Daphnia pulex: one gene and its partner. The protein of the gene in region 2 interacts with the protein of the main gene of each other region in a biochemical or structural test. Links are inferred from orthologs where the notes say so. Each region holds a gene or a part of one and is shown on either strand. Other genes may lie near its edges.

The links. The genes of interacting proteins can lie anywhere in the genome.
Region 1: of the proteins of cyclin-dependent kinase 1-like (region 2) and protein regulator of cytokinesis 1-like, one has a biochemical effect on the other in vitro, tested with the Homo sapiens proteins (2 studies listed by BioGRID). The link is inferred for Daphnia pulex from reciprocal best matches to the Homo sapiens genes CDK1 and PRC1.

Annotation. Positions count from the first base shown.
Region 1 is NC_060020.1:1,303,001-1,307,593, forward strand, and holds the start of protein regulator of cytokinesis 1-like, read right to left. Parts: upstream 3,139-4,593; 5' UTR 3,026-3,138; exon of another isoform or gene 2,961-3,025; 5' UTR 2,948-2,960; coding exon 2,934-2,947; intron 2,861-2,933; coding exon 2,719-2,860; intron 2,661-2,718; coding exon 2,296-2,660; intron 2,221-2,295; coding exon 2,073-2,220; intron 2,026-2,072; exon of another isoform or gene 2,011-2,025; coding exon 1,846-2,010; intron 1,785-1,845; coding exon 1,545-1,784; intron 1,486-1,544; coding exon 1,354-1,485; intron 1,287-1,353; coding exon 1,128-1,286; intron 1,062-1,127; coding exon 915-1,061; intron 852-914; coding exon 726-851; intron 630-725; coding exon of another isoform or gene 576-629; exon of another isoform or gene 554-575; intron 353-553; coding exon 56-352; 3' UTR 1-55. UniProt on the Homo sapiens protein: Key regulator of cytokinesis that cross-links antiparrallel microtubules at an average distance of 35 nM. Essential for controlling the spatiotemporal formation of the midzone and successful cytokinesis.
Region 2 is NC_060026.1:11,477,435-11,481,618, reverse strand, and holds cyclin-dependent kinase 1-like, read right to left. Parts: upstream 2,609-4,184; 5' UTR 2,458-2,608; intron 2,355-2,457; 5' UTR 2,224-2,354; coding exon 2,175-2,223; intron 2,110-2,174; coding exon 1,814-2,109; intron 1,754-1,813; coding exon 1,598-1,753; intron 1,536-1,597; coding exon 1,372-1,535; intron 1,304-1,371; coding exon 1,051-1,303; 3' UTR 831-1,050; downstream 1-830. Other genes in the region: eukaryotic translation initiation factor 3 subunit F-like, read left to right, coding at 1-152, 220-311, 370-620, 684-767; GATA zinc finger domain-containing protein 1-like, read right to left, coding at 3,344-3,507, 3,563-3,812, 3,897-4,184. UniProt on the Homo sapiens protein: Plays a key role in the control of the eukaryotic cell cycle by modulating the centrosome cycle as well as mitotic onset; promotes G2-M transition via association with multiple interphase cyclins.

The DNA.
Region 1 (4,593 bases), on a different chromosome or scaffold from region 2:
GACCAGTAAGCCATCAAATCAAGCGCTAAAAAAAAAAATAAAAAAGGCATTTATTTTAAATTAGGAAAGGCCTTTTATGGATAGCGAGTTTAGGTGTGGAACGAGCCGGGGTGAGACGGGTAGTTAGAGGCGCGGCCATTATCGAATGTGATTTCGAGCGTCGATACATGGGGTGTTGTGTGCGGTTGGGTTGAGGTGTTAAGGTCGGCGCGGCGGCTGCAGCCAAACGTGTAGATCGACGGTGCGGTAATGTTGATGGCGTCGCGTTTCCACGACTTGATGATGGTGTGTTACAATCCATCAAAACCGTGGAGTTTACACACTTCGCTTGCCTAGCTTTTTGTAACGTCTCCTATAAAATAAACGAAAAACAGAATGTTAGAATATAATCCATTTGAAAAAATATTTCCCAAGCAAGCTACTTTCAAAACTAGATTGTAACAAACAAACATGGCGGTCCAAAAAATTTCAAAACTACAAGTGTGTGTATGGGGTGTGCGTAACGGAATCAACAGACGCTACGTGAGATTCTGGCGGAAAAAAAACGTTTTACTTGAATAAAAAAACACACATCTTCAATAGTTTTGGTTTGGCGAGCTGGCACCCTGTATGCGAGCAGCTACGTTTTCCTGCATTATGAAGCAATTGAAGCATTTGGACAGTACGAGAAGAAGTCTTTTGAAACGTAAAAGACACACACGTCAGGTGGTCTTGTCAACACTTACTGTAAAAACAGAATAAGTAGACATGACCGAAACGTCATGATCACTGGGCGTCGCATGAGGAGGCTGATTGCCAATTGCTTCAGTCAAGATCCGGCGACCAGGTCCCAGTCGTGCCTGAGGAGCCGTCTTTCCCAAACAAACATTCTGTCAGACTCGATTAACATAAGACTAGTTTGAAGAAATTCTTACCGAGGGCACCAATAGTTTCCTTTGCTTGGATTTTGGTGACTCCATCTGTGTGCGAATGGCAGTTGTCCCCAAGCGCCGTTTCATCGGTGTGTTGGGCTTAGCTCCTCCTTTGGCTTCTTCGACCAGTTTGTCGGCACGCTCTCGTTGCTAAAAATATTTTTAAAAAAAGTATGAATATTTTAAGCAACTTAAGAAAGATTCATTTCAGATTACCCTTTGGAGTTTTTCGTGCTCTTTTTGCTCCTCGTAGTTGACCCACTGGTCTACGACAACCTGACGATAGTCTTGGCCATCAATAAGCAATACTTGCCCATTTGTCCGTTCATAGTTATTGATCAACTCGGTCAGTTGGGCCTCTACCCGAGGGAGTTCCTGTTATTTATTTTAAAAAAATGTTCTGTGTAGCACATAATGATTTTACATCAAATGCTTTATCTACCTTCATTATCTTGGTGCGTTCTTTTTCTTCCTGCAAGAGCGCACATCCACGATTACCGAACAATCTAGACGGATCTTGTCCACGGGCCTCGATATCCTCCATGCGTTTCCATAAGTTCTCTCGATGATGAACCTAATGACAACAGATCATAATTAAGCGTACAGGAATTGACAAGTTGAAATTTAAGTTACCTTCGTGAATATGTCTTTATAAGACGTATGCAGCTCCTTGTACCTTTCTACCTGAGCTTCATGCAATTCAAGTAGATCTTCGGTGTATACTTCAGCATAAAATGGGGTAAAGTTGCGACGCTCGGCGTCCGAAACATAGCAGCGATCCCACCAACCAATCAAATCTTGTCTTACTGAATGAATAAACCTTTCGATATTTTGTCGTTTAAGGTCTTCCAAACGAGTTAGTTCACGTTCCAACTGTGAAATTAAAAACTTTGCATAAGTTTATTTTACTTAAGGGAAATTATCTAAAACATACTGTTGTGACGGTGGATGGAGCAAATCCACGATTCTGCATGTGAAATATTTCGCGAACATCCGGTTCAACACTGAGTCTCTCCCACAATATTTCAATGGTATTCCACATATCAGTTACTTTCTTCTGATTTTTTTCAATCCGAGAAATCAACCCTTGTTGGATGTCCTAGAATGTGAAAAGGTATACATTATTTACTGGTTCAACATAGAAAGTTAACCAAAACATACCTTGATTTTATTCAAATCAGTTTCTGACAACGATACGCTTTGCGGATCGCTCACAAGAAGATCCATTTCAAAAGGATTCCGTGCTGACATTTCTAATTGTGCCATGGAGTTCTTAATCGAATCTCTCATACTAACAAACTGTCCTTGCCTACACATTTATCATTAAGAAAAGAATTATAATTAGAATGTAGAAACTGTTTTGTAGCATTCAGGTTGTACTTACCGTTTTATGATTTCTGTTTTTAGGTCGTTGATAGCTTGTTGCAACTTGCCGTACTGGTCACTACTTGGAATTCTGTCTCGATTGAGGGAACAGCGTTCTGCATTCAATCTAGAACACAACACATCCTCTTCTTGAAACAGAGCTCTCACTGCTCTCATACGCTCCTCCTTTTCTCTGTTTAATGCAGTTAAGGTCTCTTGTAGCTGTTTCTCCATTTCTAGAAGTGGCATCTCTTCCCCAAATTCTCTGTAATGGGTACCTAACTCTTTACAAAGTTGGTGGTGTTGTCTTCCTAGACGATCAATGCTGCTCACTATCTTTTTCTTGTTAATCTGCTCTTCTTCAAGCATGGAATCCCATAATTCCTGCAATGGACAAAGAACATTTAAACTCAGAAAATAATTATGTGACCAAAGACTTTACTTTGTGATGAGAAACTGCTGTTTTGAAACGCTCTTGGCTTTTACTTTGAGGAAAGCCCAGTTGCTTCCAGATTTGGACCATTTTCGGAATTACATTTTTTAAAACTTGCGAGCCTTCTTTCAGGAACTCGTCCTCGAACGCCCTTGATAAAGAAGAATGAATCAAGTTAATTCCACCTCTTCAGAAAAAAGAAAACCTGACCAAACCCAACTTACTTGTCAACAGACATGTTGAATAAAAGCCTGTTACACAAAAAACTATAAAATTACTAATCTGTTACTGAACCTGACTCAAATCATTCACTCACAAAACGCCGATGCTGCCTTACTCAGTTACTTACTTACAGTTACTGGCACAATCGTCGGTTTGAAAAAAGGGGAATGGAAAAATTGAGAGGGTGAGAGTCGACTTCTGTGGTTGGTTAAAATGCTCTCACTAAATGTCTTGCCATTGGGTACATTTGAACATGCGCTGTTGCCGGTTTCTGCTTAATGTTACATCCGCCAGTTCTTTTTGAATTCCTTAATCTTTTCGGTTTTTTTAACTACATTTTAACTACACACGTAAAAATATTTGTATTAATAGTCTGACTAAATGATACCGTACATTCCTTCATTAAACATCTCTTGTTACTAATAGGAACTTGTTACGTTAATAGGAAAAACCGAAATCAAATGTTACCATTTTGCATTACATTACAATGGCGTTTCAAAAAATAATAGACAAATGGCACCTTTTAAATAAATTTTGTCTATACAAATAACAGCTATTCAAATAGCGGATATGTGATATATGTATTCATTTAGTTTATTGAACTCTTTAGAAATTTCTAAACTGGCTCCATATGAGACTAGTCGTCGTCCCTTGCAGAGAAAACAGAAAAAAAAACACAGGTGTTTGAAACAGTGAGTCAGTGAGAGTGCTGTGGCAATAGGTATATATATCACACTGACACCACGCACCACACACCAGTCGTTAACAAAATGCGTTCCATGTTGATTTTGCTCTGCTTCGTCCTTGCAGTCGCCTTCCTTGGTAATCGTTTTTTTTTTTTAATGTTATTTTAACAACTGCATCATTGTTTTCTCCTTTACAGTGGAGGCTGAAGATGTCACCGTCGGTAAAGATCCATGTACTTGGGGTCCATCTTTTTGGTGCGCTAGTAGCGAAAATGCTGCAAAGTGCGGATCTGAGGTTGTATATAACGATTGCTAAAATTTAAAGTACTGAATTTTAATTGGTTTTCTGGGCATTATAGGCATTTAAGTATTGCGAAAGTGTCAAGTGGAATGTCGAGTAGAGAACATTTCCGCGACAAAGGCCTGCATTATTATTCTATATTAACAGACATGCATTTCCGGTGAATGGATAATGGGGATTTACATTTTTAGCAATTGCATTGGTCATTTATCCTGTTTTGGACCGTTGTTACGCGTTAAGAACGGTGAAACAAACAAAAATCTAGTTCAACAATTTTATTCTCTTTTGTATACCACTTTTCTATTATTAATAAACATGAAATAGTCTTTGATTGATACAATGCTTCCATTTGTAGGTACGGGAAGTTGACAATAAATTATCTAACACAAATAAATTAAAACTTCCCGTGGTTTTCATTTATTTAATCCCATATATAGCTGAAAATAATGTTATTTAAAGCGTTCTCTTTTCAGTGTTACTCTGGAAAATAGAACTTTGCGTATTTCAAACGAAATATGAGGACCTTTATACTAATCTACTGTACACTTTATTTTAAAAAATAAACAGCACATGCGCATCGTCATCTGGTCTAAATGTTTCAAAAACTAAATAGAACATTCTAGAATATGACAACCGTTGAATAAAAACCCCACCTATATGTCGGAGCAACAGGTG
Region 2 (4,184 bases):
AGCATTGTAGGTTGGTGGGCAACTGGTACTGGAGTCACATCTCACTCTGCTCTTATTCATGAGTACTACTCCAGAGAGTCCTCCAATCCTGTTCACATTACAGTGGACACCACATTGCAAGATACCCGTATGGGAATCAAAGCTTATGTCAGGTACATGCTATTAATTCAGTATGATACAATTGCTTTGAAAAATAATTATCTTTAAATTATCATCTAGTGTCCCAATGGGTATCACAGGCAAAACTATGGGATGCATGTTTGCTCCTGTTTCTGTTGAGATAGCATGCTATGACCCAGAAACTATTGGATGTAATTATAATAGAAAATGTGTATGTATACTGGGAATTAATCTTTGATTGTTTTTCAGTAAATGCCTGCCAGAAAACCAAAACCTCGGTTAAACGTCAAGCGGGCATCGCTTCGGATCTTACTCAGATTGTTGAAGCCTCGCAGCAGATGGAAAACATGCTGGACACTATCTTGGCTTATGTTGACGACGTAATGAGTGGCTCCAAAACGGCTGACAACACGTTTGGTCGTTCTCTATTAGATATGGTTCATTCGGTACCTAAAATGACACCCGACGAATTTGAAGAGATGCTTAATTCAAACCGAAAGGTAGAAAACATTACCCAATATTTACTTATTTAATCTAATTTTTGTAAAACTTTATTAATTTAGGATTTATTGATGGTATTATATCTATCACAACTTACCAAGACTCAACTGTCGCTGAACGAAAAACTCACATTGTTGACAATTTAATTCAGAACGTTGATATAAAAAATAAAAATGAACATCTCCCAATTAAATTACAATTTTCTGATGTAGTCCTCGTGAGCATATTTATTAGGAAACTATAGTATACAGTCACACGTACACAAGGGGGAAGAAAATTTCTTCGCTACCAAGGAAAAGAATCACACCCATCTTCTCTCAGAGAGCAAAAAAAATGATGATTAGGAAAAGCGAAAAACAGAATTTCAAGAAACGACCATCAGGAAGTTGGCCAGGTTTAGTAGCTATCGTTTACATGAGGAATGCTTAATTAAGCAGGCACATTGGTGGGTAAGATAGATTTATCCAGATCGGTAAACCAAGCATGATCTAAAGCATCCTGAGCCGTGATACGAAGGGCTGGATCGTAAATGAGAGTTTTTTGAAGCAGATCAAATCCAATCGAGTCAAGTTGCTTCACGGAATTTTGAAGGTGGTAAGTATTCCAATTAGGGAAAGTAGGTTTATAGTCGGGCATTTTTGAAACGCCTGGCCACATTTCCTCCGTGGGCGTCTTCATTACTCTGTGTTTCAAATAAAATAGGAACAAATGTAATTTTAAAAATAAAAAAAAAAGGACAAGTAACACTACCGGAAAATACGGTAAAGCTGATCAATTTCCGAATCTCCTTGGAACAATGGCTTTTTCGTTATCATTTCAGCCATAATACAGCCAACCGACCACACGTCTATGGGGCACGAATATCTTGATGACCCAAGCAATACTTCAGGAGCACGGTACCATAGAGTAACAACCTTCGTGAGTTCAAAAGAATTTATAGTATACGTCCATGCATTGGGAACCTTCTTTCCTTTACCTCGTGAGTGTAGACACGAACGGGAACTCCAAATACGCGCCCAAGACCGAAATCAGCTATCTTAATAATTCCGTTTTTATCGATGAGTAAGTTCTGGGGCTTCAAATCTCTATGCAAAACTCGACGTCTATGACAATATAAAATGCCTTCCAAAATCTAGAGGGAAAATATAAATCAGGCCAATATATAAATGAGTCCTAAATCTTCTAAGCAAACCTGGTGGCAATAAGACTTAACAAGAGTTTTATCCATCAACTGCCCAGTTGGAATGCTGTCCATGTACTTTTTAAGGTCCATTGACAGGAACTCAAAAATTAAATACAGCTTTCCTTCTTGCATCAAAACATCCTCCAGACAGACGATATTGGGATGTAGCAGCTCTTTCAAAAGTGATATCTCCCTGATGGCTGTCGAAGGAACACCATCATCTTCATTTTCAAGCCTGATTTTCTTCATGGCAACAAATTGTTGAGTCTTACGGTTTTTAGCCTTGTAGACAACACCATAAGTACCTTTGCGAAACAAAAGTTTTAAAATCAGTTCAAGTTACACAGCTTAGTGTACCAGGGATCATTACCTTCACCGATCTTTTCTATTTTGGTAAAGTCTTCCATTGCAGAAGGCATCACTATTGTTTGTTAAGAAACAAGAACAAAAACCAAAAAGTGTGAAGAATTGAAATCTCGGGAAAGTAACGGAAATTTGAAGTCGAATGGCAGCAAACAAAAACTGGAGTGACGTATTCTTCGTATTCCACCTGCAAATCAGATTGTCATCAATTGATTCGTAAGACTCTTGCATAAAATATTTCGTTACACGATAAACAGAGAATAATCTAACAAAGTAAAGAAAGTTCGTACCCAACGTGTTTCCACAGACTCGACTTTAAAGGAAAAGGTGAGCACACTTGGATGTCAAAGAGACGGTGGCGGCCGTTGGACTAAGGAATGTAACCGCCAAATTTTGAAACGACTTCATCACTTCACAGAATCACGGCCCTCTATGGGTGATAATCAGAAACCCATTGGACAAAATGGATGTATTTGACGAACCTACTATACGATTTCGAATTTGTTATAGTTCTTTTAAACTTTTTTAAGGTTTTGAATTAAAACTCAAATTAAAATAACAAATTCCCGCTGGTGATTTCAAGTTATAATTGTCTATTAGTTCGAATGACGCTAGTATTATGAATGAATAAAAACCCATACAACTTATACAAGTTTGAAAAACTCATTAACATTATCGATATTATTTTTAAATATCATTATATTTTAAATGAACTGTTTATTACCACTATAATCGAAACATTTTTACCGGTAGACTAGAAAATATTTCAGCTCAAAATTTCAGCACAAAATAATTTCTAAAAACATTGTTACCCGCAAGGCAAGCCGTAATGCAGGAATGGTCAAGTATTATTTTTAAGAAAGCCGTGCAAGCAGGTAAAAAAATCTTCTATAATTTCCGACATGTAATTTTCGAAAATATCTTACTAAAATTGTGAAAACTCTTAAAAATTTAGAAAAGAACACTTAAAACAGATCAAACAATTTAATTTACTCTTCCTCCGAATTTCAGTGAGGTAGCAGAACATGTGACAAATATTTTTAGTTACAAACTTCAGAAATGATGGAATTGTTTTACAAACGAATCTGTAATGGCATTAAAAGACACAAAGAACAAAAGAGCCGGCTGCCTTGGTCTTTCTATTCTACTATAAACGGATGATCCTGGTGGAATTTTTCATGAATGAATAGTTCTTCGTACGGCACCCATACTTGTCCAAATATAGCCAGCTTCTTTTTCACTAGACACTCGAACATTTTCATCCAGTTTGTAATATTCGTTCGGCGCATGCATTACGAAATCAAGATAATCCAGCTTACGTGGCAATTCTTCTTCAGGACCTAAACCAAGACTGTTTTAATGCTGTACAGAAAAAAAAATATAAAATTCACATACCTAAAATATATGTCTGTGGATCAAATCCCACATCTGGGGGTGGTGAACTTTGAGTTGGGATGAGCCAAGTTAATACAGCACTTTTTTCACAAAATTGGTCTTGCAGAAGCCCACGAATTTGTGCATAATAAACTCCATCATCTTCATCTGTGACTGAAACTATGTCCCCCACTTGATAATAAATGTCATGATGAAACAAATGCCCACTAGTAAAAGAGGTAGAAGCAACAGTGGGGGCTTTAGATGGTAGCTAAAATTTAAAAAGGAATAATTTATAAAAAGTTATTGGAAAAATCTATTTAATTTTTCTATCAAATTTATGGATTTGTTTAACCTGTTTCTTGAAAACAGCTCTTCTTCCACGTCCTTTGCCAACTGTTGCTTTATTGGCAGTTCCTAGTTTCTTGCTTCTTCCACGTGTCTTTTTTGTTCCTGTGCGTCCACCTCTACTGTTTGAAGTTGTGTTTCCTGACCTGGTCCCTGGGCCAAATTCATTACGTGGCTTTATATCATCCACAAGTTCATCCACAACAACATCATCCACTTCAATAGTTTCATTATAAGCATCTTCTTCTTGAAATTTTATTTCTGGTGAAGGCGCCTTTTCTATAACAATAGATTC